3 linked regions of the Astyanax mexicanus genome follow. The protein of the gene in region 1 interacts with the protein of each later gene in a pairwise test. Links are inferred from orthologs where the notes say so. Each region holds a gene or a part of one and is shown in the gene's direction. Other genes may lie near its edges. The genes, in order: trim32, zgc:103755 and ptcd2.

Region 1 (10,413 bases):
GAAATGAATTAAACTCAAGATATGAGTAGAAAATTTGTTTAGTTTCAAATTTACAAATGAAGCAATGTTTATTAGCCCTTGGCCAAACATACTGTATGTAATATAAATGGTTGGAGGGGTGGGGTGTACAGTGTGTGTTTATGGAAAATGTGTTTTGATATATGTTTCTCACAAAAAATGAGCCAATGCCAATGAGTTTGAGTTAGAAAAAATATTTTGATGAAAAATGAAAACGGGTCCCACAGACCCGAACACCACACAAGGGTTAAGAGTCCTGTTTGCATGTATGAAGCACTGTTGTAAGTCGCTCTGGATAAGGGCGTCTGCTAAATACCATAAATGTAAATGTAAATGTATGAATATTCATGTGCAAGAGCTGAAATCCTGTCATTCTTTCCCGCCTACTCCTCCACTAGACTAAAGCAGAGTTATACCGAATCACCGGAGCACTTTTCTTTCACATAAATAAGCTCACATTGGAATTTATTAATACTAGAGACACAACTAGACATTTAAAATGAGTGAAAAAAAAAAACGATAGCATGAAACCTTTAAACACAGACAAGTACTAGAACTCTACGTTTCCTCACAAGAAGAAAAAACATAACAGTGTAGGTCACTGCACTGAAAAAAAATAGTGTTCTTGATCTACTTAAAAGAATCATATAAACTTTTTGCATCAGATAATTAGGTAGATCAAGCAAGAGTAGTCATTGTATACTAGTTAATTTTCTCCAGTAGTGCTAACATACTTTTCCAGGTAGTGTCAACTTAAAAGAGTCCATTGACACTACATGGGAAATTAAAGTATTGTCAACTTAATTTTCTCTTGTACTCTGCTGACTTAAAAAGCTGAGTTAACTCAACTTAAGTGTTTAATTTGTCCTTTTTAAAAATGATCTGTTTAGTCAAATAAACTAACAATTCATCTTTATTTTAACACACACTTTCAATTTAATAAAGCTTTAGTAATATTCACATAAGTTATCAATTAAGTTAACCATGGGTATTCTCAACATATTTAGTATATTATATATATTATATTATATTACAGTATAATAATGGAGCAATACAGGAGTAAACTGGGTAAAGAGTGAACTCTGTAGCTCAAATCCAGCACACTGTGATCAGTAGAAACACAGAATAAAGTTAATGTGCTCTTACAGCCTATAAACACTGAGACCTGCCAATGTATATTATTGTAGTTTTCTGTTTGGATTAATTTTGATTAATTAATTAATTAATTATTTAAATTAATTAATTCGTTTTTGCTTTGGCTTATTTGTTTTGCTTTGATTTAGTTTTTTTTTGTTGTTTTTTTTGTTTTGATTTATTTTGGCTAATTAAGTTTGTGTTTTCGTATTGATTTTCATTTTTTGTGATATTCAGTTTTTGTCTTTTAGTTTCTTAATTTTGCCTTTTGGGGTTGTTTTGTGTCTAATTTGGTATTTTGTCTTCTATATTTTTGATTAATCTAATTGATCTTTTTTTTCTGTGTCTAACTTTTTTGTGTTGGAATTTGAGTTAATTTGGGTTTTCTTTTCTTTGGAGCTCTTTTCTCTAATTGGGTTTCTATTTTGTTTTGTATACTTTTTTTGAGTGTGGGTTTATTTTATGGGGTTATTCTCTTTGGAGGATTACTTTGGTCAGTTGGAAGCCTTACCTTAATTTCTTAATATTTTGTGTTTGGTGTGCTAGTTCTTTTCTGCCTCGGTTGGGATTTTCTTTTTTTTTTTTTCGTAATTGTGGGTGTGTGCTCGTGTGCAGTGGTATGTGTGTGTGTAGGTGATTTTTTTTTTTTTTTTTGTCCTGCTGTCCTGGTAAGCCCTCAGTTGTAATATATATATATATTTCTTTTGTGATTCTGGGTGTGTATAATCTTTTCTTGATAATTGTTAATAAAACTTGTTTTAATTTGGAAACTACGTCTCTGTTCTCCAAGTGTCTTGGGCCTGTGTGTTCTTGTATTTCCTAAGAGGGAAATTCCCTCTAGGTGGCGTAGTCGTGCACTATTTATTTAATAAACATTTATTTATTTACTCCTCTTGCCACATTATAATTACTGCACGCCCAGGATAAGGTAGCTTTGGGCAACAGACAACACAAAGATGGTGAGTAAGAGAGAGAGGCCACACCCAATATGCAAATATATGGTTACAGGAGCCTATAGGAAAGCTGCATGAACCAACACTGTAGAAAGAGCATTGACACAGGTAGTGACTAAAACCCGAGTAAATATAACAAGACTTGTGTTTGTTGTGCAGATTTGTTGTGTACCTAAAAAGATTTGTTGGGATTACATAAATAAATTATATTAAAGAAAAAATACACAATATCTGGTATTTTGAACAAATGTGGAGTAATTAAAAACTAGATATATTCATGTAAATATAGAAACATATTTCTTTGTTGTTAATAACACAGATTTAATTACGTTACATTTACTAACGCTCAGATTTATTTTTTTCAGTGTGGGGCAAATCTCCCAGCTCCAGCTCCAGAACTCGGGCCGGTCAGCCTAAGGAACATTCCCCCCGAATGCACCCAGACTCACAATGGAGCTGTCATCACCGTGAGGGCGTTTGATTGATCGAGGCCTGCGGCATTTACTAATCGCATACGTCAGGCTGACCACACGTGCATTCTGTTCTTTGGGAAAGGTTCTTATTTAGGGAAAAATGTTCAGAATAATAATAAACAGAAGCTCCTGAGACGGGAGTTTCAGGACTGATCCGGTCAGAGTTTGACTTGTGAACCGAGCAAAGTCCAGAATCATCCATCCGTCCATCCATCATCCTATTCGCTCCGGCTCGGCCGGGTCTGCGGTGGGTCTGGAGGCTAAAATCAGGACGTGGCAATCTCTGAACCTTTAGAAATAATTATAGTAAAGGAGCTACGAAGAGTTCTTTCAGTGATGGATGACCATAGAAGAACCAATTTTATTAAATCATCCATGGAAACGAGGAATGAAAATGTGAGAAAACAACTGCAAACGTCCCCTCAATGTACAAAACGGTTGTGGAAACCCCTACTTCCACCGTGTCCAGAAGCTCCGCCCACTTCTCTACTACAATAGTTACTTTATATTCACTAATAGCACTTACTTTTAACTTTACTCTGAAACAATTAAGCATAAAATTTACTTTACTTTAAGTTTTGCAACTTTCTGCAACTAAAAGAAAGGATTGATTCAGTAAAAATAAATGAAGTAAAGTTTACTAATAGAAAGGATTGATTCAGTAAAAATAAATGAAGTAAAGTTTACTAAAAGAAAGGATTGATTCAGTAAAAATAAATGAAGTAAAGTTTACTAAAAGAAAGGATTGATTCAGTAAAAATAAATGAAGTAAAGTTTACTTAAAGAAAGGATTGATTCAGTAAAAATAAATGAAGTAAAGTTTACTAAAAGAAAGGATTGATTCAGTAAAAATAAATGAAGTAAAGTTTACTAAAAGAAAGGATTGATTCAGTAAAAATAAATGAAGTAAAGTTTACTAAAAGAAAGGATTGATTCAGTAAAAATAAATGGAGTAAAGTTTACTAAAAGAAAGGATTGATTCAGTAAAAATAAATGGAGTAAAGTTTACTAAAAGAAAGGATTGATTCAGTATAAATAAATGAAGTAAAGTTTACTAAAAGAAAGGATTGATTCAGTAAAAATAAATGGAGTAAAGTTTACTAAAAGAAAGGATTGATTCAGTAAAAATAAATGGAGTAAAGTTTACTAAAAGAAAGGATTGATTCAGTAAAAATAAATGAAGTAAAGTTTACTAAAAGAAAGGATTGATTCAGTAAAAATAAATGAAGTAAAGTTTACTAACAGAAAGGATTGACTGAAGTTCAGTTCACTTATTTACTCTGTGTAACATTTAAGTCTTGAAACCGAGTTGAAGTTACTTAAATTTATCTGAAATTAAATTTACTTAAAAAAAAGCAAATGCAGAAAGTTGCAAAACTTTTTTAAAGTCAATTTTACTCATTTTTTTCAGTGTACTGTACACAACACAAGCTCCGCCCACTACATCCTGTTTATGGCGTCTAAATTAAATCATATTAAATGTTTGTGCATATACCTACACTGCTGTGCACCTGTGTTCACTTCTCCAGTTCACTATCTGCTCTATTCTGATACACCATGAGTGGACTTTTGCTTCCATCTGGTGGTCTGAGCTGGAACTGCATTAAAAACAGAACACCAGCAGGAGAACTGATCAGAGGAGGATATGGGGAAACTGGGCTTTGTTCTCATCAAACTTAAATTTTGGATTTAAATAAGATTAATATAAATAATAGATAAATATTTAAGATTTAAAAAAATAATGTAGTGTAAAGTACAATTACTCTACAGTAAATGGCATTACTATAAGATAATAAACACCACTATTCTACAAATAATAATAAAATTAAGAATTTAGTAAGAATAATAAAATCATAGGTAAAATTACAGGTGATAAAAAATTATAAGACTGCAGTTACAGATGAATAATAATAATAAAATAATAACAATAATAATAATAATAATATATATATATATATATATATATATATATATATATATATATATATATATATATATATATATATATATATATATATATATATGTGTGTAAAATAAGTAAAATAAATCAAAGAAACAATAAAGACAAGAGGTTAAACGACACAAAATTCAAAAAGTTAACTAAAAACAAACTAAAACTAAAAATAAAATAAAAAATAAACAAACTATAACAGCGACAGGCTGTCTGAAGGTGATTATACTAGGAGTTTAAGATTATTTTGTGACTAGTAGTGGTACAGTATAGGATCAATAATAAAAATGTTTAAATAAAAACCTTTATACATATCTTTTTTTTTTTTACAATAAATCAATAAAATATTTTATTGTTAAATAACAAAACATTAAGATATACATTATTATTATTATTAGTAGTAGTAGTAGTAGTAGTAGTATTAATAATAATAATAATAATAATAATAATAATAATAATAATAATAATAAAAATGAAAAAAATAAATCATAATAATAATTATTATTAGTATTATTAGTATTATTAGTATTATTATTATTATTATTATTATTATTAGTAGTAGTAGTAGTAGTAGTAGTAATGTTTAAGATCAATAATAAAAATGTTTAAATTAAATTTGACATCATATTTATACAAATATGTCTTATTTTTTGTTGACATAAGTGACAGACATTTCTCTCAGCCAATCAGAGCTGAGGAAGGCTGTCTGTCTCTCCACCAATCAGATCGCAGTGGGGGACGGCCGCCACTGACGACGTCAGCGCTCCGCAGTGTCGCTCGCGCAGGCACGCACGCAGCGAGCGGCGGTGGAGAGACCCGCAGTCAGGCTGACATTGAGGTAAGCGGTACCGCACGCGGACAGCGCGCTCACCCACTCACAGCATATACCAGCATATACCATATACACCACTGCACTGCACTGCACTGCATATACACCGCTGCCACGCGCGCACACATAGACACAGGGTGCAGCCCTCTGCCTCTGCACTGGGCCTTAGCTCGAGCCTTTAGCATGGCTGCCAGGTGCACAGCAACATCTGTGCAATGCTGGACGTCTAATGCATCCTGTTTGTTTGTTTGGTGCTGATATTGCTGCAGTATGTGCAATATCTGCAATGCATGCTGCGGAATATTGCAAATGTTGGCTCGTGATTATATTATATAAAGCAAAAGATAAAGATAGAGCTAGTTAGCTAGCTAGTTAATATAGAGCTGGCTAGCTGGCTAAGGAAGCTAATGTGGTGATGTTATTGCATGCAAAATCAACAAAGTCAATAGGGAATACACTAGGTATAGATTTGGAGACGTCAAAACAAGTATTCCTGATCTTTTCACAGTCTTAAAAAGCTTTAAATTTGACAAAAAATAAAAAATGCTGTGTTTTCTATGTCTAAAGGAAGAATAACAATACTAGCAATACTACAGTGCCTGCCAATAGCTCAGGGGAACACCTGTCTCACGTGCATGTTGGGTCTCATAAATTAATAAATACTGCAAAACAAGACTAAGGGTGTTTTCGCACCTGTAGTTTTTATGGTTTCTATGATCAGAATCAGTTTTATTTGAAGGGTTTCTCCCTCTGTTTGGTTTGGTTTCACTTTGGTTTCCCTGGGTGTGATTGGAGATAACCACCTTCAAAGTAAATATAGTGAAAATATTCTGTGCACTTAATGTTGAAACGCTACGTTTTAAAACGCATTGTTTTAAATGTGACGTGCCGTGCAGATGTTCACATAGTAAACAGAATTGCGAATAGCATTCGTTCATAGCAGTATACTATTATCAGCATTTTATATAAAAAAATAAAAGAGTATATTTGACAACTGGGTCAAATCAAGGCCTGATCACGTTCTCACCACAAACAAATCGCTCCAGAGTTTGGGATCCGTTCGTTCGAGTAAAAAACAATCAGAGTCTGTTTTAACCCGACCAAAGAGTGCTGTTGTGAAAACGCCCTACGGTTCAATCCCATTTTTCTTTTGTAACCCTTTTCCTTGAAGCAGAGTTCCAACTAAAAGGGATAAAATCCTCCCCCTAAGAATTAGAATTAGCATTTAGGGCTTTAGTGTATGTCTTAGAATTAATTATTATTATCTATTCCTTAATTCCTCTCTGATTGGGAGCTAAATTTAGCTTTTATTCGCTTTTATTTTATTTTTCCGTTCCATTCCACCTTAAATACTGCAGCCTCTGCCTGTGTTGCAACCTTTAACTCTTTCAGACCTGAATTAAGTTCCAGTGAAAACTATAAGAATGCTGTTTTCTGTCGTCTTTTGTTCAATCACACAAAAGACGACCCTAATTGTCCCATTAACTAAAATATATTTGATTGCTCTTTTTTAATGTCCATTGCATTGGATGCCTTAAAATGTGTTTTACATTTTTAATGTTAGATTTGATATTGACCTTTGTACTTTGTACACAAATCATCCATACACAGTAACATGAACATCATAAAAGTGTTTCTAAATCACGTAAAAAATAGTAAAATTTAACTCTTACTTTGCTTTGTTGGCTGTTGTGCTGACATGCACTTATATCTTGAGTTGCTGGGGTTTTTTTTTCTGCTGCAGTGGGCGGGGCTAAGTTAATGTAAATTTTTGATTTGCTTGTTTAATGTTGTAATTGTAATGCATTGGGCGCAAGGTCTGAAGGGGATAAGGTGAGACCGTAAAGATATATAGGAAAATGTTCAACTTAAAGGATCATGTAGCCTTAAAACTTCCCCTAACCTAACCTACCCTTATAACCTACCAAAAATCGAGACACCCTACCCCTAGGTGTGCAAGCGCAAAACAAAGGGTTAGGGCTAAGTGGTTGGACCAAGGAATACAATGCCCTGCCTTGCTTCGCCCGCATGAGCTAACCGTAATTAGCGTAACGCCTGCTATACTTGCTCACTCATCACATCATCATATTACATAATTCTCTGCTGTACTGCACTGTACTCTAAATGACTCACTTGGTTCTCTTCTTCTTGTCTCTCCTCTCTGTGAACACCTCCGTTAGTGAGATGCATCATGGCCACTCCGACATGCCTGGACCCAGACCTGGTGCGGGAGGTGCTGGAGTGCCCCATCTGCCTGGAGACGTACAATCAGGACCAGCTCCGACCCAAGCTCCTGCAGTGTGGACACTCGGTGTGCCGGCAGTGCCTCGAGAAGCTCCTGGCCAGCACCATAAACGGGGTGCGCTGCCCGTTTTGCAGCAAGGTTTCCCGCATGAGTAGCATCTCCCAGCTTGCTGACAACCTCACGGTGCTAAAGATCATAGACTGCGCCAGCACCTGCAGCTCTGCAGCCGGCCTCATGTGCAAGTCCTGCAAGAATCGCCTGCCGCGGCAGTATTGCTGCGAGTGCGGCGTGGTGCTGTGCGACGCTTGCAAGTGCGAAGGACATCAGCATCAGGGTCACAGCGTGCAGACCATCCGCACGGCCGCTGAGCAGCGCAGGAAGGACCTTGGGGTGAAGCTGACCAACCTGCGAGAGGCCATGGCCAACATTCAGAAGAAGAAGGCAGCCATAGATAATGTGTCCAAGTCTCTACGTCTCAAGTACAAGGCCGTGCAGCAGGAGTATTCCAGGGCGGAGCTCCGGCTTCAGGAGGAGCTGGGCCGCTCGCGCCGTGCCTTCGCCGCCTCCATGGCTGAGGTGGAGAAACTCAACGCTCAGATTCTGGAAGAGCAGACATACCTTCTGAACATTGCAGAGGTGCAAGTGGTGTCCCGATGCGACTACCTCACCATGAGGATCAAGCAGACGGACACTGCTTTGCTTGAAGAAGGTGGCGGAGATGATGACGAGGAAGAGCTTGATTTGAAAAGCAGCCTTCCCGTCCTCTTGAAGCTGCAGGATCCTGAATTGGTCAAAACAGAGAACCCGCAGTCCCTAGACGTTGGTCAGCTGACTATTAAACCTTGTACGGTGAACACAGATGAAGAGGATGGTTTGGAGATAGCTGCCGCCGCTGATGCCACTGCTGTTGCTGCTGCCACTGTTGCTGCCGCAGCCGCTGCTGCTCCTTTGCCCTTGTATCGAGATGTAGACATGATAACTGCTGTAGAAGAAGCCGTGTGTGCCTCACCTGGTAGCTTCAAGTCCAAGTCCGTGGATGGAGGGGGACCCTCGCCTGGGGCAACAGGTGGCGCCTCCGGAGGTCAGCTTTGTCAGTTCGTCAAGAAGATGGGATGCAAAGGGAACCTCCCGGGCATGTTCAACCTGCCAGTGAGCATTTGCGTGACTCCACAGGGAGACGTGCTTGTGGCGGATCGAGGCAACTACCGCATCCAGATATTCAACCGCAAGGGCTTCCAGCGGGAGATCCGCCGCAACCCTAGCAGCATAGACAACTTTGTCCTGAGCTTCCTAGGTGCCGACCTGCCCAACCTCATCCCTCTGTCCATCGCCATCACCCCTCAGGGTCTTATCGGAGTCACGGACAACTATGACAACTCTGTCAAGGTTTACACCACGGACGGCCACTGCATCGCCTGCCATAAGAACCAGCTCATCAAGCCATGGGGCATAGCTGCCATGCCTTCTGGACAGTTTGTGGTGTCGGATGTGGAAGGAGGGAAGCTGTGGTGCTTGGCCGTGGATCGTAACGTAGGAGTAGTGAACTACAACAGACTGTGCTCAGCTGTAAGGCCCAAGTTTGTGACTTGTGACTCCTCGGGAACGGTTTACTTCACCCAAGGCTTGGGCCTGAACATTGAGAACAGGCACAACGAGCACCATCTGGAAGGCGGCTTCTCCATCGGCTCGGTGGGCACGGATGGTCAGCTGGGGAAACAGCTCAGCCACTTCTTCTCCGAGACGGAGGACTTCCGCTGCATCACGGGCATGTGCGTGGACGCCAATGGAGACTTGCTGGTGACGGATAGCGGGCGCAAGGAAATTCTGCAGTTTCCCAAAGAAGGTGGCCACAATGTTCTGATTCAGGAAGGTCTAACGTGCCCTGTGGGTGTTGCTGTTACGCATAAAGGACAGCTGCTGGTTTTAGATTGCTGGGACCACTGCGTCAAGGTCTACACGTACTTGCAGAGGCGACGTTCCTCGACTTGTTGAGGCTTCCGTTGGTTGTCCAATCAATCGCTCAAGACACGTGGATATGCTTGATTTGATTGGCTACAGGCATAGCTGGCTTCTCTGCGATTCCCGAACGGAACAGTTGATTTGGCCATGTTGAAAGAAGCGAATAAAGCGACAAAAAAAAAAAAAAGCGTCGGACGATGAATTCTTGATTTTCTTTCACCACTGCCAGCAGAGATTGGAACGTGGGCTGTGTTTACCAGTGTGGATGCTTTTGGAATATGGCGCAACAGATGGCAATAATTGACAAGTGTTGTCTCCGTGTGGGAGTGTTTGTCAATCAATAATGTCTACATCTGTGATTATTTTGACTGCTGTGCTGTGTTCCCGTCCAGACGAAGGACTTTGTGAATCAGAGGACTACCAAACGACACTACATACACTGCGAAAAACTGTGTACAAATAAGATGAAGTAGCTAAACGTACTGAAGGAGTGCTTAATCTGAATACGTAAACTCTACATACTTATCTGCCGCCTATTAACGATGCCAGGTTCTTGCTCATATATCCTTTCCGTTACCCGTTGGACTCCTCAATGTTCAAGTGCCCTCTTATACCTCTCTTATCTTTCATATCAAAGAACCAATAGGCTACATATGTTTTCACTGTATGACAAGATATCCAATCCAGTGTAACAGCATCAGTTAATCTCGGTATGAAATCATTAACGCAATGCTCATTAACACAGTGCTGAATAGGTGATTTAATGTCTCAAATTCGTCAGTTTCGTCGGTTATCGTCAATCATTGGGCGTGGTCGTGTTTTTTTGTATCGTTCACAGCTACACAGGTTTG
Region 2 (10,738 bases), on another chromosome or scaffold:
ACACATGTAGAACGGTTCTATAAACAAACAAAAACACTGTTAAATAAACCAGAATATGTTTTATACTTTGAATTCTTTTAAGTACCTCATAGCTACACTGTCTCCTAAAAAAAAAGTTGCCTCCTCGATTTAAGAAGAATCAGTAGCCTAAATGACCATGCGTCTTATCATTTTGTCCATATAGTGTGCATCGTTAGAGTATGTTTGATATTATGTATATGATGTCAGTGTTCATTATGTGGTTTTGTGAGCTGTAAATGCATTCTCAACAGGAAGCCGTAGCTGAGCTGCTGAAATCTTTTTCTGTGCTGTGGTTGTTTACTGTAGATGTGCTGGATGAGAGCGTGTGCAATTAAACGTTACACTTTGCAGATTCACTTTAATTAAACACATATGATTAATAATTGAAAAGTAACCAAAAATATGGATAAATTAATGTTAATAATAATAATATAAAATAATTAAAAAAGTGCTGCTTACAACATTTTATGTGAAATTAAGTCATTTTTTTAGGCTGAAGCATAAAAGCAAGTCTAATTTAGGTTATGCAGGCTACTGTGACACCAAGTACGACTAAACTCCAAACCTATGACCATTGACACAATTGTATGTCTAAATAAATGCTACACAACAATCAATGTATCGGTAAATGTATCTAATAAAAAAAAAATAATAATAATGGGCTTTAATTTTGATGTGAAAACCCTGTTTTTAACCATTTCTTTGTTATGAGTTAAACTAATACTATAAGATAGACTCATGCTAATATTATCCACTAGCAAATAACTTAATATAATATAATATAATATAATATGATATAATATAATGATTTGTTTGCCAATAGTTTATATCATATCTGTCATATCTTAAATTATGCATATCTGGAATATTTGTATACATAAATACATATATATATTGTACCATTTTTGATAGATAGGGCTGTGTTTTGGCTAGAACCGAACAATGCAATACTTAAAATACACAATACATATGTATATGATTCAGTATATCATAGGAAATTGTGATACTGGAAGCAAAGCAATATATTGTGATTGTTTAAAGTTTGTATTACGATACATATGCTAACAGCAATATACATTACGTTAAACAAAACAAGTGTGTGAATATAAAGAGAGTTTTCATAATGTCTTATATTATAGGTTTATAAAAACTTTAAACATACTAATATAAGGCTTTATGAAACCTGTCTTTAGGAAGAGACATATTCATACACTTAAGATGAAAACTAAACTTTTGCACCCTTATTAAAATAATTACTTACTTATTTACTTTTGATGTCTTAATCACCTTTACTTGATGTATAGGCGCTTCTCTTATTTAATGCAATTTTATGAAACAAAATATGTTCTTCTATTGCATCACTTAAAAAAACAAAACAAAAAAAAACACCTGAAATATCTTTATTAATAAAAAAGTGTATGTTCTCGCTTTTTTCTCATATACAGAACCTTCATATAAAAATAAATAACCTTCAAATAAATAAATAAAAATCTGTGGGAAAAAAGCTATATAGAATAAAGTTACTGATGGGTTTTAACTTCACCCTGTAAAGACAGAAAGACGGTGAGAATAGTAACAGGATGTTAACAGGATGTGCAGCAGGGTTATATGTGGGTTGTTAGGTTGTGGTTTAGAGGATAGAGAGATAGATATCTGCAGCACTAGCTCCCTCTTCTGACCAATAGGAACAGCCTTCCTTCTGTTGCACCACAGTAGAAAACCACACCAGCAACACCATAGTAAATACACACCACCCACCTGTTTAATGTGTTTAAAGCTGATTCACTGATTTCTAACACTGAGGCCAAAAATCTGACTTCCTTATTGATGTGTCTGAGAATGTATTAGAAGTTACAATGGATTATTAGTTATAAATATAGTAACAGTCAAAAGTTTGGACACCTTCTCACTAAATGTTTTTATTCTCTCCCCTACATTGTAAATGAATACTGAAGTCATCTAGATTATAAAGGAACACATATGAAGGTCCTGATGAGAGCCAGTTTCATCATAACTTTGTAGACTTTTGATGGTCCTTGGGACTGCACTTGAGTTTTTAAAATGTGTTGGATTACCTGACCTTCATTTTCTACAGTAATTTTTTTCTTGACTTTAATGGCTTCAATAATAACATATAGTAGTTTGATATTACGCTTGTGTCTTACTTGTGTAATAGAGCTTTTGAGAAATATCTCTTTTGACTTAAACATTGAGTATTTTAGGTCCGTTTATAGTGTTTATGGAACTATTTAAAATATTTAGCTATTTTTAAAAAGGAAGACGTGTTAAAGTTGCTCACGTTCTTTAGCTGTTTTTTGTTAATTCAGTCTGATTTCTTCATATATTGTTTTATTTTGTGGGACACAGTAAACCTAATACTGATCAAAGCCTTATTTTGATATTTGATGTTTGATATTATATGTACTCCTAACAGTAGAGTAAATCTTAAACCTGTATTAAATAAAAAATAAAAATACAGTGATATACCGTAACACGTCAGAATACCGACATTTGTGGTCAAACCACCCAGCACTACTACAAACTATGTAACATATTTTGAAATTGACATGATCCTCCCCATTCATACCAATGACTGTATTTAACAAGGACTGGGCAACTCAAATATGAAGCCACCACAGGTGTAGTGCCTCTGCTGGCTAGTTGTAGTATGACCTGTAGCTTCATATGACCAGACCCATATGTTTTAATGACAAAAGAGTGCATTTTTTCATCTCTGATCTCTGTTGTGTAGACTCTGGGTGCAAATTTGACAACATGGTAAACATTTTTGGATTCATTTCTATAGAATGTAAGGGAATGGAACTGTATCCAGGCTAGGCCTGTCACAATAGCTTTTTTTTGTGGACGATATATTATCTCAGAAATTATTGCGATAAACAGTATTGTAATTTTAAGACCATTTAAATGTCACTGACGTTTATACAAATGTTTTAAATACAGCACAATTTTAAATAACCATAGTCTGGGAAATGTAAACTCTTTTCTTTCTTTACCTACTGCAGTACACACTGTGTGTATGCAGTTGCTGTTATTATTATTATTTTTTTTACAGCATGACTGGCTAAAATACTGTTCTCTGTTTTAGGGCTGGCCCGAATAGCGTTTTTTGAGCTCCGGATATTCGGCACTGATTCGAAGCAAATATTTGAATATTCGTTTTTAAAAAAAGAGGTAAAAAAAAAAAAAAAAAAGCAAATCACGGCCCCTTTAATCCACTGAAAAATGTTCAATTTGCTCTGACCGACGAGACATATTCACCCCGGATTTTTGGTGTTTTTATCCCGGATTTTTGTGTTTTCACCCCATATTTTTTCTGTGTTTTTAGCCCAGATTTCTTTGTGTTTTCATCCCGGAATTTCTGCTGCCCCACACCGAGCCTGCTGCTGCACGGTTTCTCCGCTGCGCAAGCCAGCCCAGTAAATTGCTGTTTGTGTTTTCACACTTAGGCTATTTGCTTAAAAAAACAAACAAAAAAAACGTTTGTTCAGGAAGTATTTTATATTCTTAAACATTGTTGATTATATTAGAGGACAGTCATTGTAAACTGTACTTGGTCTATTTCGGTTAAAGGATTGTGCAGGGCATATTACTGATTTTGTATTTTTGCACTTGGGCTATAAGCTCAATATTAAATATTTCGTTTGTTTAGAAATTATTTTATATTTTTAAACCATGTTAAATTATATTAGAGTAGAGGAAAGTCATTGTTAATGACGTTATTGTACTTGGTCTATTTCGGTTTAAGCATTGTGCAGGGCATAGCCGTATTACTGATTTTGTATTTTTGCACTTGGGCTATAAGCTCAAAATTAAATATTTCGTTTGCTTAGAAATTATTTTATATTTTTAAACCATTTTAAATTATATTAGATAAGAGGAAATTCGTTCAGACATCATTTTTGTAGGCCAGGCTTTTGTAACCGATTTAGCCCCTACTGTTGCCACATTACCCCTTACGTTTTATTATATAAATCAGTTTCGAAGAGCCTGCATTTTTTTTTTATCATGTATAATAGAGGTCTGCGCGAGACTGATTTTTAAACCCACTCTTCCACGCTCCCGCGTTTCTGTCTCGTTACCGCGCCGCAAAAAAATTGCTTCTTTTAATCCCGCGCCCGCCCGCCACATACACATTTCTGCCGCTCCCGCCCCACGTTCCTAATGTAAATTAAATAAACTACATTTAATGCTTCAAATTTACTTATATATTTATTAAAACAGCAGCGCTGAATAGTGTGGTCCCGTTCCTTACCCCAGTCCAAACACCATCGGTGTGTGCGTGTGTGTGTCGGTCCATCCTGCGCGTTGAGAGTTTTCTTTAGGTTTTTTTTTTTTTACAATTATTACATATTATTGTTTTCTTAACTATTTATTAATTTGCTCCCGCATCGTCTGGATTAAACTCCCGCTCCAGCCAATAACAGTTCAGTTCTGTCCCGTGCGCAAGATATTCTGACGGGACCCGCGAGAACAGAAGTGGTTAGAGTGAGGTGGAACTCTGGAAAGGAGAAAAAAACCGAATATCCGAATACCAAAATTAAAAACCGAATACCTACTCAACGAACGAATATCCGAATACCCGAATATTCGGGTCCAGCCCTACTCTGTTTATATATGTGAACAAACGTTCAAATAAATACAAATAGGCAATATCACGATTATTGTATATTATTGATGTAGTGTCCATTTATTGTTCGATAAGTCGATAATGTGATTATTGTGACAGGCCTAATCCAGGTTTTTATTGTCCTTAATTCATTCAAAATTTAGATTAATGGCCGCTGAGTGAACACACTGGTGTGAGGCAATGTCTTTTAGCAGATCTCATGTTTAAGCTCCAATTTTCCTGTAACCAGGACTATTTTTGTGGATGTTCACGTGTGTTTCTCATGGTGCCGGTCCGGCTGTTCAAACTCACATTGACAATTATGTCATTAAAACTTTAAACCAGCTCAAAACGAAAAAGCTTTCTTCTGTCGTGTCACTGTGTCGCTACAAATCCCTGCAAAGACAGCCAATCAATAGGAACACTCTGGTTCAGATCATTGCCTAAAACTGACTGCTGTCAAAAGGGATATTGTGTGTTAGTTTGCACAACGCGCAGACAGTGCCAAATTAGAAGCAAATCCAGGGCAATGCCACTGAATAGGCTTAGAGTTGCACACCCCCGAGGAATTTCTCTGACTAATGAGAGAGTGAGAGTTGTTAGTTGGGCCTGAGTCTTCAGCTCAGTTTACTTAATTTCTCATTTTTCATAGGACTCGTAGGGTTGCCCTTGTATCTCGTCTTCATCTGATCCTCCTGCGTCTGATGCCGTGTTTCGTTTTGTGTTTGTTTACCTTGGATCACACGTTTCTCGGTAAGTAAAAGTGCCAGGGTAAGGGGAATGGCATCCCAGTGAGCCAGAAATAGCTCCTGAGCCACCACTGATCACAGGGCTTATTAGAAGAGGCCAGGAAGATCACAGTGTACCTTCCCCCTGTGCTCTAGTCTAGCTTGAACTTTACTTTGTGGGATCTTCTGCCATGTCGGTTGGTTCTTCCTCCGTGACGGAGCACCAGCTCAGTGAGTTTCAGAGTGCTGTAGGTGCTGTTGATGGCGTTGGTGAGTTCCAGGTGTGTTGAGAGCTGGTTGTGCTGCGTTTTCTCCTTCTTTGCTGTGACATATTAAGGCTTTTTAACTTGTGGTATTGATCTGTGACACATGAGCATAATTTAGGTGTTTATGAATGTGAATATGCCTATAAATTGTAATTACGGCTGGAACATTGTTGAATTAAATAAGCATTTGGATTAAAATAATTTTGGATTGGGTTACTAACTGTGGTACATGTACCACTGGCAACATGCGAGGGATCCTAAGATGGTATTCCTAATTAGAGTTTAGATTTCAGATAAAGTTTCGCACATTTTTCTCCCCAAATTAGCTAGGTCGATTGTCCCATTTATTTAGCTGCTACTCAGCTGTATATCCCCAGTCATTAGTGATGCTCTGACACAATAGTGAGGCCCCGAAATGCTGATGCAGCATTATCAAGTAGCCAGCGGCTCAGAAGAAAAGCACAGTGACTTGGTTCCGATACATCAGCTCACAGACGTCTTGTGCTGATTGACATCACCCTTGGGGTGCTGAGCCCATTGGGCCCCTTTGGCTAAAACCCTAGGGGTGATAAAGAGAATGAGCGCCATCTACCCACCCAGAGAGAGCAAGGTCAATTGTGCTTTCCTAGGGCTCTGACAGCTGATGGCAAGCTGCATGACCGGGATTCGATCCAGCGATCTCCAGATCATAGTGGCAGAGCTTAGAAAACTCGAGCTGGGAAACTCGCCGCCCTAGGTCTACAATTTGTAATGCTATTTTTTATTTTATTTTTTATTTTTTTGGGGTGAAATCGAACAGACTATTTTCTAAACATTGAGTGCATTCCTATTTTTATGTGTAATTCTGATCCTAGCAGTTCCATTGGTTGTAACACAGAGTCTGGGGAGATCGCGGATAGTTTGAAAAAACAAAAATGAAGATTAAAAAAAAAAAAAAAATGCTCATCTGAGTTTGTGCTCGTCTTTTATACTGTGGGGAAAAAAGAGACAGCGTTTCTTACTAATGTACTCAGAATGCAGAGATATGCAGAGAAGTGAAATATGTAATTTTGTGACTTTATTTAATTTGTGCAGTTTTGTTATTTAATTTTATTGTAGTAAATTTTATACTTGTAATTGTCATGTTCCTCCTCAGTTTCTAAAATAAATTGCTCTTAAATTCACTTAGCATGAACTAGCTGACTTCTGTCTGAAATGTTTTTTTTTTTTTTTTAAGAATAACAGTTTTGTTTACTTAACTTAGCTTAGCTCTACTGGTCTTGCCCCCCCCAGCAGCGAGACCTGCTGAATTAGAAGGAAAACATTGCAACACCATAAAATATGCCTTATAATGTGGTGCACCTTATGTATGAAAATAGATGTTTATTCCCTTACCCTTATAGTGCGAAAAATACGGTAACCTAGATAGATAGATAGATAGATAGATAGATAGATAGATAGATAGATAGATAGATAGATAGATAGATAGATAGATAGATAGATAGATAGATAGATAGATAGATAGATAGATAGATAGATAGATAGATAGATAGATAGATACTTTATTAAAATTAAAATTAATTTGTCCAACAGCACACAAATAATAAAAATAATAGTAATACTAATAAAGAAGTAACACAAAAAGCATACACAACAGAGTCCATACCCAGGTACAAAAAAGTGCTAAATGGTGCTTAATAAGTACACACATCAGGTGTTAAGCAGTAACCTAGGGTCTGAGAGGATGCCACTGTGTTGTCACACATCACTCTTATATTCCTCTGTTTAATGATTTCTGAGATTTGCTTAGTTTTACTTATTTTAATGCTACATTGTTCAGAAAAAGTGGGATCTTTTCTGGTATGTCAGTTAAAAAGTTTCAGAATCACTCTTCAAGTGGCAAGGTGTTTTTGAAATGGTCTGAGTTGGAAGATAAAGGATATATTTATATAACATTATATTTCTTTCCTTTATGTGATGTGAAATGGGTTTGAAGCCAGGCCTAGCTTTTCTCTTTTCTCTTTTTAAAAGATGGCTTTAAATCCCCAGAGCTTTTATTACCGCATGCATCCAAATGTTAATGCGTATTTATATACATCATGCCTGATTTATGCGTATCCATTTCAGATGGTTTCAGAGGGCCATGCAACAAAACAGAACTGTCTTTATGTGGTTGCAGACGACATTTAGCAACCTACTATGAAGTATATTATATTAGTGCTTCCAGAACCTATTATCTTACAACTGGAATGTTATCTCAAATATGACTTTGTACTGGGGGATGCATTATAATGAGTTTTAAAAGATAGAGAGATTTGTTTGGTTTGAAGTATGTTGAATAGATTGATGGATTGATGTCTGCTTGTTTTATATTGGCTTGTACTTAAATATACAATACCACACTGACTTTCTATACTGGTCAGATGACGTGAATTATCCTGCAGGTCAGTGCAACATGCTTTAGCTTCCATAGGACATGGCAAAAGTCATGGGATACAGTACTAGTTCCAGTGCCAAGATGTGTGTACGAGTTTTTTGTCGCTTTTGTTGTAGTAACTAGAACTTGATTGCAACTATTGACAAGAGTATTAGTGGTTGGATCTAATCTCTATTTAATTGATCTGTTTATATTTACCTATTATTAGGGATGCACAGACATATTCAGCTCTGAATGGAAGTAAAAGTGCTGAATAATTTAAACTAAACAAACAAAAATGATTTATTTAAAAAAGGGCAAAATGAATGAAAACCTGCAAATGTGTTCGTTATTCAACTTTTATTTTTTTTTATTTAATTTAGAAGCATTCTGTCCCAGTATCATTTTACTCCAGGGTGTAAATCTGACAAAATGTCCTGTATGGTTAATATCACTATGTACAGTACTGTGCAAAAGTTTTAGGCACCAAAGCAAATTACACTGATCCATCTCAGCAATACGAGGGTTTTTACCTGAAAAAAAAATTACCACATATGATTTAAACAGATACAAATAAACATACAAACAGTAAAATGTAACAAGGAATTCTCATTTTTAACTAAGTATGTTCTATCCTGTGAGCCAAGCTGAAAAACAACGTGTAGTTCCCGATTTCTCCTGGATGATTTCCTTCAGCCAGCATGTGTATATTATGTTCAGTTCCGTCGGCAGCTCACCTGATTTACCACATTTACCAGTAATTTACCAAACCAGAACTAGAAATAAATAACTCTATTAAACTCAGATGAGGAGGAGAGATTAGGAAATGTTTTAAGGAAAACAGGGCTGTAAAAGCACTGCTTTTTATAAAATTGCTGTTTGTATTTATTGTAATGCTGGTGTTTTACTGAGCTAATAAACACTTACTTCACAGATAAGAAGCTTTTTCTGTACTGAAATCCCCACAGGTGCCTAAAATTTTGCACAATACTGTATATTGCAACAAAAAAAAGTATAGCAATGTCACTTTTATCAAAATCAGGCAGGTCCTAGTTCCTCTGTTCTACTTCTCAATGCTCACTGTCTGGGATTAGGCATGGTGCCAAAAGATTCATGTTTATCTGCTCCAGGAAGTCCTGCTGAGTGTGCATTTCAAATCTCTGTCAAGTAAATATCTGTGGATTTTCTAGCAAGAACGTTCTTTTACACTTGTAAAACTGATACTGATATTTCAAAATGTGTTATTCAACTAGTAGATGCTGTTATTTTAAGAGACATGTATTTTATTTTTGATGCAGAACACCATCTTTACCAGAATAAATTATATTAATACCTGTAGAATACTGTATTTTTTCTCAATCAAACCAGATTGAAAGGCGCACTATCAATGAACGTCTATTTTCTGGTCTAGTTGCGTACATAAGGTGGATTATACACTGGATTATAAGGCGCGTTATGCGACACTAGTAAGGAACAGGGGTGTCGCCATGTTTTCCTTCTAAATCAACTGTAATTCTTAAAAATATATATATTTTTAACGAGCACTGAATTTTAACCTACACAGATTTCTCTCCTGAAAACTGTTTAGTTGGGTGAGTAAAGTGCTTCTGTTTTTTTTTTTTTTACAGTAAGCTTAGATTTCCAGATTTCCAGTAAAGCTAACCGAGGTTAGCGGCTAATGCTGCCCAACAGCGCTACAATGGGGAACCCTGAATGTTCCAGTAAGCCATTGCAATATTAGCTAATGATTCTTCCCACGTTGCTTATTTTATGATGCTAAACGCACAGGCTACAGGCCGATAATACTCACCTCTAAATGGTGAAAGAGCTAGTGCTTAGCGTGGAAAGGGGCTAATGCTAATACGGCTTCAGTCTCGAGTCTCGGTGCTGGAGAACTGAACTGAAACTCCTGTATAGCACTGTACCAGCAGAGTGGCTTTACTGCTCCTTAATACTTGACTGGTAGAATTCATACATAAGACGCACCAGATTATAAGGCGACTGTAGATTTTTGCGAAAATTAAAGAATTTTAAGTGTGCCTTATAGTGTGAAAAAATGTGGTAGTTAGGTTAAATAGAGATGCTATAAGGAGCTGAGGAGTTCAGGATTAGCTACCACTACCATCATAAGCAGGGGTATCAATGAGAGGTGTGCCGTATTGTATTGTACACAATATATTGTGACACAGTAATATTGTGAAAAAAAAAAAATCTGTATCATGATAATAGCAGTATTTTGCTTGAAACATTACAAGTCAATTATTTTTGTGTAACTGTTTACTTTTGCAGTTTATATTCATGGATACTTTGCAGAATTGTGGTAGATTTCTTTGCTACATTATTTATTTTGTTACTTTTTGTTTCTACATGTATTTTGTTACATAAGTATTTTGTTTTTACATTTTAGGTAACACTTTGCAATAAGGGCACATTAATTAACAGTACATATGACATGATGTTTCCACTAATTATTAACTGACACTAGTTAAGACATTGTTAATCATTACAAAAATTAACTAATATCTGTAATAATAGTGTAAAAATAAAAATGTGACCCTTATTGTAAAGTGTTACCCATTAATAAAATGTTTTGTTAAAAATAGAGTCATCACAAAAATAATCTGAAATATTATGATATTATTTTAGGGCCATATAGCTTACCTCTACTTTACAGTACAGTACTTTCATCCTATTAGAAATT
Region 3 (11,057 bases), about 16 Mb from region 1:
AGCCAAAAGAAGGACTGCCTTTAATGTATATATTGTTTTGTAAATATTGTTATATTGTTCTTTCTTTCTTTATTTCTTTGCCATTTTTAAGAGACACAAATAATGTTTCCTTTATGTTGGTTTTATTTGTAGTATAATTGTACCCTGTCTCTTTAAGAAATACAACAGGATGTTCTAGAATGTTTTTTTTGCTCACTAGGGGGCGAATTAGAGCAGCAGAATAAACTTAGGTGGAAAATGGAGCACACGGTTTTTAGACCGTAGCATATTACTTCTTAAGTGGATATTTGTGGAAGTCTTTAGGATTTTGTGCTTGTTGGAAAACTTTTTCTTAGTAAACATTTTTTAACACAAAAAGTGGACTCTGTGGTAACTGCTACGCGTCAACCAAACTCAATCATCTAGGACCTGCTGCCTACAAAGAGTATAGGCTCAGTTTTACTAAACGCGAGCGGCTGGTGGAGCAATGGAGACTTCAGAAGGGGAAACTCAGTTCCTGAGCTCAGTAGCTCATTTACTCATAGTAAAAACAAAGTGTGTAGCTGAAGTGAAGTTTCTGACTGAACATAACCTGGAATCGGATTCATCCACCTTGAAAGGAGACCTCATCACACCCACCCAGATTAAAATGATTCTTCCACATGCTCAGTGCAATTACCCATTCTCACCAGTGAGGGCCCTAAATCCCAAAACTTACGAACATTAGCTTTAACTTACATTCCTATAAACGTCTATTAAATGCAACCCATCTCTAATCTCTAATTAAAATAAGACAAAACAAGAAGACCAAATTTGTTCTGCTAGTGTGCAAAATTTAACCAGTAATGATTGACACTCTGGTCACATTGTTATAGGCCATGTTTATCTTCTTTACTGAAAAATGTGACTTCATGCTGTCACATCTGTTAAATTTTATTTAACATATATGTACTCATAATATGAATTAAACTGGTTGAATGCATACTGTCACCTCAAATTTATTCTGTAAATTGTTTTTTACAATGTAAGTCAACATTAACACCAGTTTTTCAGCTATTTTAGAAAACATTTGTACAGTAGGGGCTCTGTAAAATATTGGTGAAACCGCTGCCAGCTGAATACTTTAATTCATAATAAAAGGACAGTTTTTACAGTGTATGTGTTCTTATTTATTAACACATCTGAACTAGTTCGATCTGCTTTGAATTGGTTAGAATCCCGGATCATGCTGCTTGCAATCAGCGGCCAGAGTCAGAGAGAGCATGACTGGTCAGCACAGGTGTCTATTAGCTGATGTATCAGAGCTGGGTCACTGCGCTTTCCTCCAAACATATTGTCTACCCAGTAATACTGCATCAGCAGGAAATTGGAAAAGAGGTGAGGTTTGATTGGCTTCACATGTACTGGAGTTGGCATGTGCTAGTCTTCACCTTCCTGGTGTTGGAGCATCACTTGTGAAGAGGGAAAACGACTGGGTGGTAACTGCTAAATAGATACAAAAATAAATTCTTCCAACTTTACAACTATATTGGCAAATGAGGCCCATTTTTTTTTCTTGTTATACGCTACACCCAGATTCTTAATATACACTGTATTTTTTGTATGCTGTTCCAGAGGAAACTGATGATGCCAGCCACTACTGACTCCTCTGATCTCCTCTGCTGCTTCACACTTGTTCTGCGTTTAGTAAATAATTCACAGGAACTTATAAATAAGTAAGGGAGCTAAAATTAGCTTTCCTATAAGCAGGCATTCCACATTCGATGTATAGTCCTGAACACTGCAGCTATCAACACTTCATATCTGTGTCTTTCCTTGTATTTTTCACAGTTTATTGCTTAGTTATCATAATTAATAAACTGTAAGCTCTTTAAAAGAAATTATAGGAGAGATTCCCTAAAGGGGGTTTTAAGTTTTTTTAGTTGCAGCAAAAGCTCTACATAGTTCAAAATACACACAACTAAAAGAACCTTCTGAAAGCTTTTAAGGTTTATAGATTTAAAATATACATTTAAAAATTCTTGCATTTTGCTGCCTTCTGATTCTGACCACCACCACTTACACTGTGGTCTGAAAATATTTTGGGAACCCCTGATAATTTTCATGATTTTCCTTTATAAATCTTTGGTTGTTCGGATCAGCAATTTCAGTTAAATATAGTATATAGCAGACGAACACAGTGATATTTAAGAAGTAAAATAAAGTTTATAGGAATAACAGAAAGTGTGCATTAATTCTTTAAACTAAATAAGGCAGGTGCATTATTTTGGGCACCCTAACAGAAAAATTACATCAATATTTAATATACAGATCCTCCTTTTACAGAAATAACAGCCTTTAAACACTTCCAATCAGAGTCTGGCTTCTGGTTGAAGGTATTTTGAATCATTCTTCTTCACAAAACATCTCCAGTTCAGTCAGGTTTGATGGATTTTAAGCATGAACAGTCTGCTATAAATCACACCACAGACTTTCAATAATATTCAGGTCTGGGGACTGAGATGATCATTCCAGAATGTTGTACTTGTTTCTCTGTATGAATGTTTTAGTATATTTTGAGCAGTGTTTAGGATTTAGGGTCTTGTTGAAGTATTCAGCCCCGGCGCAACTTTAACTTCAACTTTATCACTGATTCTTGAACATTGTTTTCAAGAATCTGCTGATATTGACTGGAATCCATGAGACCCTCAACTTTAACAAGATTCCCAGTACCTGCACTGATCACACAGCCCCACAGCATGAAGGAACTGCACCCAAATTTTAATGTGGGGAGCAGTAAAGTGTTTGTGTTGGAATGCTGTGTTCTTTTTCCTCCATGCATACTGCTCTCCAAATAACTTATTTTTAGTTTTATCATTCCACAGAACCTTATTCCAAAAACGAAGCTGGCTTGCCCAAATGTCCTTTAGCATACCTCAAGCGACTCTGTTTGTGGCGTGTGCTTCTTCTGCATTACTCTCCCATACAGCCTCTCCTTGTGTAAAGTGCTCTGAATAGCTGAATGATGCATAATGACTCCATCTGCAGTAAGATGATGTTGTAGGTCTTTGGAGCTCTGGATGTCTGTGGGTTAACTATGACTGTTCTCACCATCCTTCTCCTCTGCTTATCTGAGATTTTTCTTGTTCTGCCACTTCGGGCCTTAACTAGAACTGTGCCTATGATCTTCAGCTGAAATCTCTGAGATTATGAGCTTTTTGTATTCTTTCCCATAAACCATGATGTTGAACAGGATTTGTTTTCAGGTTATTTGAAAGTTGTGTTTTGAGGTTCCCATGTTCCCGCACTTCAGAAAATGCAAAGAGGAGAAAAACTTGCAATTGGCACCTTAACCCATTTTCATAATTGGATTCACCTGTGTATGTAGGTCAAGGGTCAATACGCTTACCAAACAAATTTTGAGTTCCAATAATTAGAGCTAAATATATTCAAATCAATAAAACGACAAGGGTGCCCAAATTTATGCACCTGTCTAATTTTGTTTAAAGAATTATTGCACACTTTATTTAAATCTATAAACTTCACTTCACTTCTCAAATATCACTGTGTTCATCTGCTATATGATATATTTAACTGAAATTGCTGATCCGAACAATAAATAATTTATAAAGGGCAACCAGGAAAATTATCAGGGGTGCCCAAATTTTTTTGTACCACTGTACGTTGGCATTAATTTACAAGGAACATTTTACAGTGTGTATTTTACTCTCACGCAAAGGATGTAAGGATATCTACAGACGTTTGGACATATGGGCAGGTCAAAATCAATAACCGCAGAGCAGACTAAAGAGCAGATTGCTGTATTCCAAGGTCATCCTCTCTGTGCGGTTGGATTGATAAGCTGTAGGTGAGACTGAAAGCCTGCTGACAGTTTGTGTCCTTTCTTTATTTGACTGTTGGTTTCAATTGATTGTCTGGCCACTGCCAGTTCCAATCATTCATTCCCATTCAAAAGCACAGGGTGTACACACATAGTGCTGCCAAATCTATAGCAGTGGCATTGAAAGGTGAGCTAAAACACTGTAAAAGACTAAAGCACGCCTGTGTGAATATGAGTAAAAGAGAGTTTTTAAAGGGAAAGTTCAGTGGCAATATCTTATTTACATGTTTGGCACCATATCTAATCCAGGATGTGGACTAGAGAGGTACCGTATAAAGGGACCAGAATGGAGTTCTCTGGAATGAGGGTGCCTTATCCAACACTTTTAAAAGCTGGGCATGAGAATAAGACACTTTAAAGAGAAAGTTCAGCAAAAAATAATAACATGATTTATTACATAGATTACACATGTAGTTAATCAACCAAGACATGTTTCATATTTGAGTTATATTAGTTTCTTGTCTAAAATTGTAAATATTATTGTCTCCCTTTGCTTTATATAGGTTTTCAAATCAGTCCAGAATGTTTTTACCTAGGACACACAGCAGCCTATGGTTTCATGACCGTGATCAGCTTCAATTTTCTGAACAAAGTACATAATGTATTGTTAAATTTGATATATCTTAAATGTTTTTATTTTGTAAATTACTTTAATTTTGTTTATATTTAGAAAGATTGAAAGATGGAGCAATGCCTCTTAGGCCATATATTGGGATAGGCTCTAAAGGGCCTCTAGTTTCTGCCTAGGTATTTTGTGCTAGTGCCGTAGCGCCCTCTATTGGATGCATTTACATATATTTTAAAACACATTGCTAACATTACTTTCAAAACTAGCCAAACAACAAAAAAAAATCATTAACGACTATAAATAATTTTAAATAATTTTACAAGAAGCTGCCAATATGCCCATACCATATGTGTATATAAAGAAAAATAAAATGATTAAAAACACATTTATATTATATTTAAATGTTTTTCATAATAATATGCATATAATATATGTTATATATTCTGGTATATTGTATTATTTTATAATATTAAATATGTATTATTATTATTATTTTTATTATTATTATTATGTAAATTACTTTAATTTTGTTTATATTTAGAAAGATGGAAAGATGGAGCAATGCCTCTTAGGCCATATACTGGGATAGGCTCTAAAAGGCCTCTAGTTTCTGCCTAGGTATATTGTGCTAGTGCCGTAGCGCCCTCTATTGGATGAATTTGCATATATTTTAAAAACACATTTCTAACATTACTTTCAAAACTAGCCAAAAAAAAAAAAAAATCATTAACGACTAGAAATAATTTTACTGTGTTTACAAGAAGCTGCCAACATGACCATGCCATATGTTTATATAAAGAAAAATAAAATGATTAAACAACACATTTCTGTTACTTAAGATATCTATTATATTTTCAATTATATTATATGCCTATTATAATATTATATTCTGAATTTTTATTTTTTTTAAACATTATTAAAACGGTATTGTAGCATATGAATATACAAATAAATACATGTATTTACATAAAACGAAATACATAAATAGATTAATTAAATTAAGTTAAATTAAAGTATTTTTTATTTATTTCATTATCATTGAACAAAATCATAGATATAGTCGAGACAACCGACTGTATACATAAAACTAAAATATAAATAAGAAAATGCTGTTTATATTCTTTATTATATTTATATTATTTTTATAATAATATACATATAATACATTGTGTATATTCTGTTATATTTTATTATTTTTACAATGTTAGATAGGTATTATCATTATTATTAGTAGTAGTATTTAATATTATATAATGTATTATATTAACATACATATTATTACATTAATATAATATGTAAATTAGTATTATATTATTAATATAAAAACACATAAAAAATATTTAAAAAACATTTATACAGTCATTGGTCGAGACCATATATATAGTTGAGACTACTGACTGTATATATAAAAAAATATAAATATCAAATATAAATAAAAAATCAAATATAAATAAAAATTATATGTGTATATTTTTTATTATATTTAAATGTTTTTCATAATAATATGCATATAATATATGTTATATATTCTGGTATATTGTATTATTTTTATAATATTAAATATGTATTATTATTTTTTTTTTTATTATTATATAACGTATTATATTCACAAATATATTATTAAATTTAGAAAAATAGATATATAAATATAATATAACATTTTTAGAGTCATTGTTCGAGACTTTTATTGAACTGAGACTTTTAGCTTGGAGCGAACCATGTCGTGTGAAACAGGGGGTTGTGTTTTAGTGAATTACGGTGGGTGATCTACAGTTGGGTGAAGCTCTGTAGTGAGTGGTTTTGAGCCACTGTAATTAAATTAGTATTTTATTGTACTTTTTACTTTAACACTGTTACTGTGTCTCGTACTGAAAGTAGTAAATATTTGCTGAGTTCCGGTCTGTTACCTTGTGCCGGGGCTGCGGGTGGTACAGTCAGGGGACAGCATGGCGCTGCAGAGAGGACTGAGCCGCTGTGCGCGGTTTGCGCTTCAGTTCTCGCTGGACTCCGGCTGTTTTAAATGCAGGGCTGGAGGTGTGTACCCGCTGTTTTACAGCGTTAGTCTGGAATTATCAGCTTTTTTTCTTTGGTTTTAAAACAGTGATGTGCGGCACTGTGCAGCATCATCTTCACCTGTATCAAATACATACGGTCAGTTAGAGTTGTAGTTAGATAACAACTGGATTCCTCCACACAGTTTTACATTAACTTACCCGCATAATTACCTTACTCAAGATTTACACAGAACTTATTCAGAGTGTTAATTTTACAGAGTTGTGTGTCTCTTGTTTATAGTTGTAGTGACCGGAGTCATAAACTCAGTTTAAAACAGTAAACAAAATGTAATTGCATAATAACTCTTCTGCAGTTTACTAGTAGAAACTTTAATTTCAGATATCATCTGTGACATTTACTAGTAATAATATCAGATCTTCAGGTTAATAAAGCCATGCTGCTTAGACATAATACCAGCACAACATCCGTAATGTAATGTTGACTAGTCACGTGTTACCACTGATTTACATAACATAACTAGAGTTACTTTATATTATTATATACTTCTCTTATATATAACTAGAATTATTTTAACAAGTTAAAATTGCAATTCCGTATTTGTAGTGTAATCCTGATTTCTTTTCCTATTATTTGATTAATCATTGTTTTGTCATGCTCTCCATTTCTACTTCCTACTGGTGAGGCTGTCAATCCAATGTATGTCTTACTGCACATTGCCAGTTAAACAATTAAGGCCCTAAACCATTTTTGCAGCACATTTTGATAGGTTGATGTACCTATATATATATATATCTAAAACTTACAAAGTATATAGTAGAAAAACATTCACACAGGCTGGATGTTTTTTTTCAGGATAATCTTATGTCATATATTTATGTATGTCTGTATGTTTGTGTATGTATTTGTGTGTAGTTCAATGGGGGTTCTGTATTGTATGTTCAATCTTTTGCCTGATTCTCTGACCTGTTGTCACATTTCTGTAAAGCTGCTTTGTGACATCAGTTGTAAAAAGCGCTATACAAATAAATTTGATTTAATTTGATGGTTACTATAACATCATTTTAATGGAGTGGACAGAGTACAAAACAGTGCAGCCCTAATAACTATTAGTCAAAACTTAAACTCTAGACGTCTGAAGTTTTGTAATAGAGAGCTAAAACTGCACATGTCCACAAAGAACATTTTTGCTAGCCTAAATTAGTCTAAATTACGTGCTCCAAGTGGGAGATCCCGGGTCTACAGCTTCCCATCAGCTGCCATCAGCTGCCAGAGCCCTGAGAGGGCAGAATTGGCTTTGCTCTCCTTGGGTGGGTAGATGGTGCATCTGTGAGCTGATGTTTCAGAACCGAGTCGCTGCGCTTTTCTCCAAGTGCTGGCTACATCAGCAGCAGTTCAAAAAGAGGTGGTGGCTGAGGAGGCGTGTGCTAGTCCTTATGAGTTGGTTGGGTAATTGGCCTTGTAAATTGGGGAGAAAACGGGATTAGATATATCTCAATTCAGCATTTATACTGATCAAAATTCAATTACAGATATTTGGACTTAAAGTTATTACAAATATAATTTATAGTGAAGATATCTTCAATTACAATTAATACTAGTAAAAATAAGGCATTAAAATATCAAGAACTGCTGTTTTTATCATCAGAAATACATTTAAAGATTAAGAAGACATAATCTGCCATAAAAGTCTGTGGTCAGTTTACATACTGCTAAAATTGTTTACAATGTGTGTTGAGTAAAGTTTTCCATGATATGGGTTGTGTACACTATTACTTATACATCACTATTTAACGAAATTTTGTAGTCCATGTAGCTGAGTATAGATTGAAGTTGCTCTAATCACCTCTGTTATGTCGTTATTGTTTACACCTGGCCAAATCTGCTTCATTTCAGCCAAGCGCCATCTTCTGTCAGAGGATTTGGTAAGGCTTCAGGATTTCCAGCTGAAGAAACTCTACACAGCTCGGCACTTGCCTGGTACAAAAAGTAAGTCATGACATAAATACCTGTTTCTCTGAGCTTGCTAATGTGTTTTATTTATTTGTTAGCAACCAGATAAATGAAAGTATTAGTGATCTCTTTATCATTAAAGGAACCTTAGAAAAAAAAACGTTGAAAACCTTTTTCTTTTGTTCGCTGAATTTACAGGTCATTTTTTTGAGGCACTTAATCAGAAAATGGAAAGGAATGAGTTGATACTGCAGGAAGACCTGAAGCAAGTTCTGCATCTTTGCCAGTCACCTGAAGATATGGTTACAGTTAGAAATGCTATTTATAGGTAGGAATTTTTCCTCACCTCCTCAATAACAAATTAAACGCATGTAAGCGACCAAAAGATTTCAGGCTTCTTCTCCACAAACAGAATAGACAGCACCATGAAATTCCAGCTGATTATGGGCCTGTAGACACTGACATTTTATAAACAATTGGATGAATACAATTACCTTCATTCATCAACAGAAAATGACTAAATCGAATACATATCCACGTCTTGATTAAATATGATCTCTATTTTCTTATGCAGGTACCATGAAGTAAATCCCAACTCAACTTACAGATTTGGTCCTTTGTTTATGCGGCTGTGCTATGAGCTGCGCATGGAGGATGTGGCTCTTGGGACAATAACTGATCAGGTATGAATGTATACGAACACAAACACTGATACACCAGTTCTTGTGTAACCTGTCAAAATAGATAGGGAATGGCTTGTTTATTGTGGTTTCTTTATTTGTGCTCTGTGGTTCCAGAGAAAGTGGTTTATGGTGTAATTGCAATATTTTTGTGAAAGTCCTGGAGGTTTTTTATAAGGAAAAAGCTGTAGTGGAACAGTTACATGTTAATACTAGTTAGCAATAATTGGTTCTCTTCCTACCTCTTAGCCAGTCATCTGTAAGCCATGCATCACTAAATGTGATTTGCTCTTTTTTCTGATAAATCTCTTGAGAACCAACATTTAGTGCTGTAAATTAGTAGGAAGTATCAGTTTGAGACACATGCAAACATGCTAATTGTCTTTTTTTTTTTTTTTACCCCTTCAGAAACTTAAAGGATTCTTTTCAGAGAAAACATCTTTTAACATCATGATGGATATGCTTTTTACCAAAGGAAGCTATGAAAGTAAGTCTCGATTTACCGTTGCTATTTTTCAGATGTTATCAAATATATGAATTAAAAAGCAGAATTTATATGTTTGGTGTTTAGCAGTTACTTGCTGATCCGAAAATGACCCGTGTCTACCCGTGTCTACATCAACTCGTGAGTTCATGGCCACGCCCGCCTTTGCTTGGGACCGCCCACAGGCTAAGCTGAAGCCGGGCTGCAAAAGAGCCGACACTCTCATCAGCTCTCAAGAGCTTACAGCTCTGTTTATACCAGTTAGTTAACATTAGCTATTTTGTGTAACTATATGTTTAAATCATATCTCTGGTCGATTCCACGCTTTACAGAGACCTTAAATATACACTAGGGAAGCACAGTTTGACAAGGTAGCACAACTTAACAGAACACCGGTCAAAGAGAGCACCGTTCGCGTTGGTTTTTATGATATAGAGTAGGAGTGTCACGATTCTCTAAATTTTATTTTCGATTTAAGGCTAACGATTCGATTCTCGATTTTATTTTTTATTTTTTTTACAGCAGAGAGGCCTATGCCAGTTTTAGATTAGTCTATGGTCAGTCATGTCATATGGTTTGATTAATCAAATTTTCAATATCTTATTCCAAAAGGTGGGCTTGATATAAGTGATGCAATGTGATACAAGTGATCTGTAATACACCACATTACGCATTAATGGTCAAATTTAAATAATTTAATTAAGATATATTTGTAATGACCTCTTTTTTTTGGTAGCAGCAGTGTGCACATAACAAAATAAATAATAAAAAAATACAGGAACTGAACTCTATCCTACTATAACTGTTAAACATGAAAAATAAGACTTTAAGACTTTTTCAGTCCCTGAAAATGACAATTTTTTTCTTTAACAAAGATATATTACTAATTATATAACTAATTAATAATCTGAGAGAAAGATGCTCCTTAAAGTACCACAACTATTAACATATTTTAGGCTAGTCAAAACAACTGTTATTTTTATATTTTTAAGTTTTTCTTTAAGAAGATGAGAATGTCCACATTCTCTGGAGAAAGGGCTGCTCTTTGTCCACGCTGCGCCATTTGTGTGGCGGGCTGCGCCACTTGCGTAGTGGGCTGCGCCATTTGCGTAGCGTGCTGCGCCATTTGCGGGAGAGATTGTCGGTCCTCTTTTTGACTTCGATGCTCGAGACCATGACATAATTTCGATCGATTGAGATGAAATATCGAAATTGTGACACCTCTAATAGAGAGCTGGGGTTCTTAACCTTTTTAACTGCGCGACCCCCTTGTATTCTCCAGAAAATTTTGCAAACCCCCCCCAATCATTGGCAGCACAAATAAAATATTTGGGCCTGCATTGAGGCACAAATATTTTATATGCATGGCTTTGTAGGGCTCAGGAACAGGCACAGATCGTCTTTCACATTGAGACGGGCTCTGTATTCGTTTTTTAGATCGTGCAGAAAATCCAGATTCACAAAGAACTGTTGATCCAAAAGGAAGGCCATTGAACTTAG

What was found.
Region 2: the proteins of trim32 (region 1) and zgc:103755 interact in binary tests that used the Homo sapiens proteins (3 or more experiments, as listed by UniProt). The two-hybrid records come from large-scale screens. The link is inferred for Astyanax mexicanus from reciprocal best matches to the Homo sapiens genes TRIM32 and CLIP4.
Region 3: the proteins of trim32 (region 1) and ptcd2 interact in binary tests that used the Homo sapiens proteins (3 or more experiments, as listed by UniProt). The two-hybrid records come from large-scale screens. The link is inferred for Astyanax mexicanus from reciprocal best matches to the Homo sapiens genes TRIM32 and PTCD2.

What each region holds. Positions count from the first base shown.
Region 1 is NC_064408.1:6,798,008-6,808,420, reverse strand, and holds trim32 (E3 ubiquitin-protein ligase TRIM32), read left to right. Parts: upstream 1-5,265; 5' UTR 5,266-5,367; intron 5,368-7,538; 5' UTR 7,539-7,549; coding exon 7,550-9,595; 3' UTR 9,596-9,749; downstream 9,750-10,413. UniProt on the Homo sapiens protein: E3 ubiquitin ligase that plays a role in various biological processes including neural stem cell differentiation, innate immunity, inflammatory resonse and autophagy.
Region 2 is NC_064421.1:10,918,732-10,929,469, forward strand, and holds the start of zgc:103755 (CAP-Gly domain-containing linker protein 4), read left to right. Parts: upstream 1-5,467; 5' UTR 5,468-5,567; coding exon 5,568-5,646; intron 5,647-10,738.
Region 3 is NC_064408.1:22,614,745-22,625,801, forward strand, and holds the start of ptcd2 (pentatricopeptide repeat-containing protein 2, mitochondrial), read left to right. Parts: upstream 1-6,197; 5' UTR 6,198-6,373; coding exon 6,374-6,461; exon of another isoform or gene 6,462-6,578; intron 6,579-8,336; coding exon 8,337-8,429; intron 8,430-8,591; coding exon 8,592-8,721; intron 8,722-8,967; coding exon 8,968-9,076; intron 9,077-9,481; coding exon 9,482-9,560; intron 9,561-11,057. UniProt on the Homo sapiens protein: Involved in mitochondrial RNA maturation and mitochondrial respiratory chain function.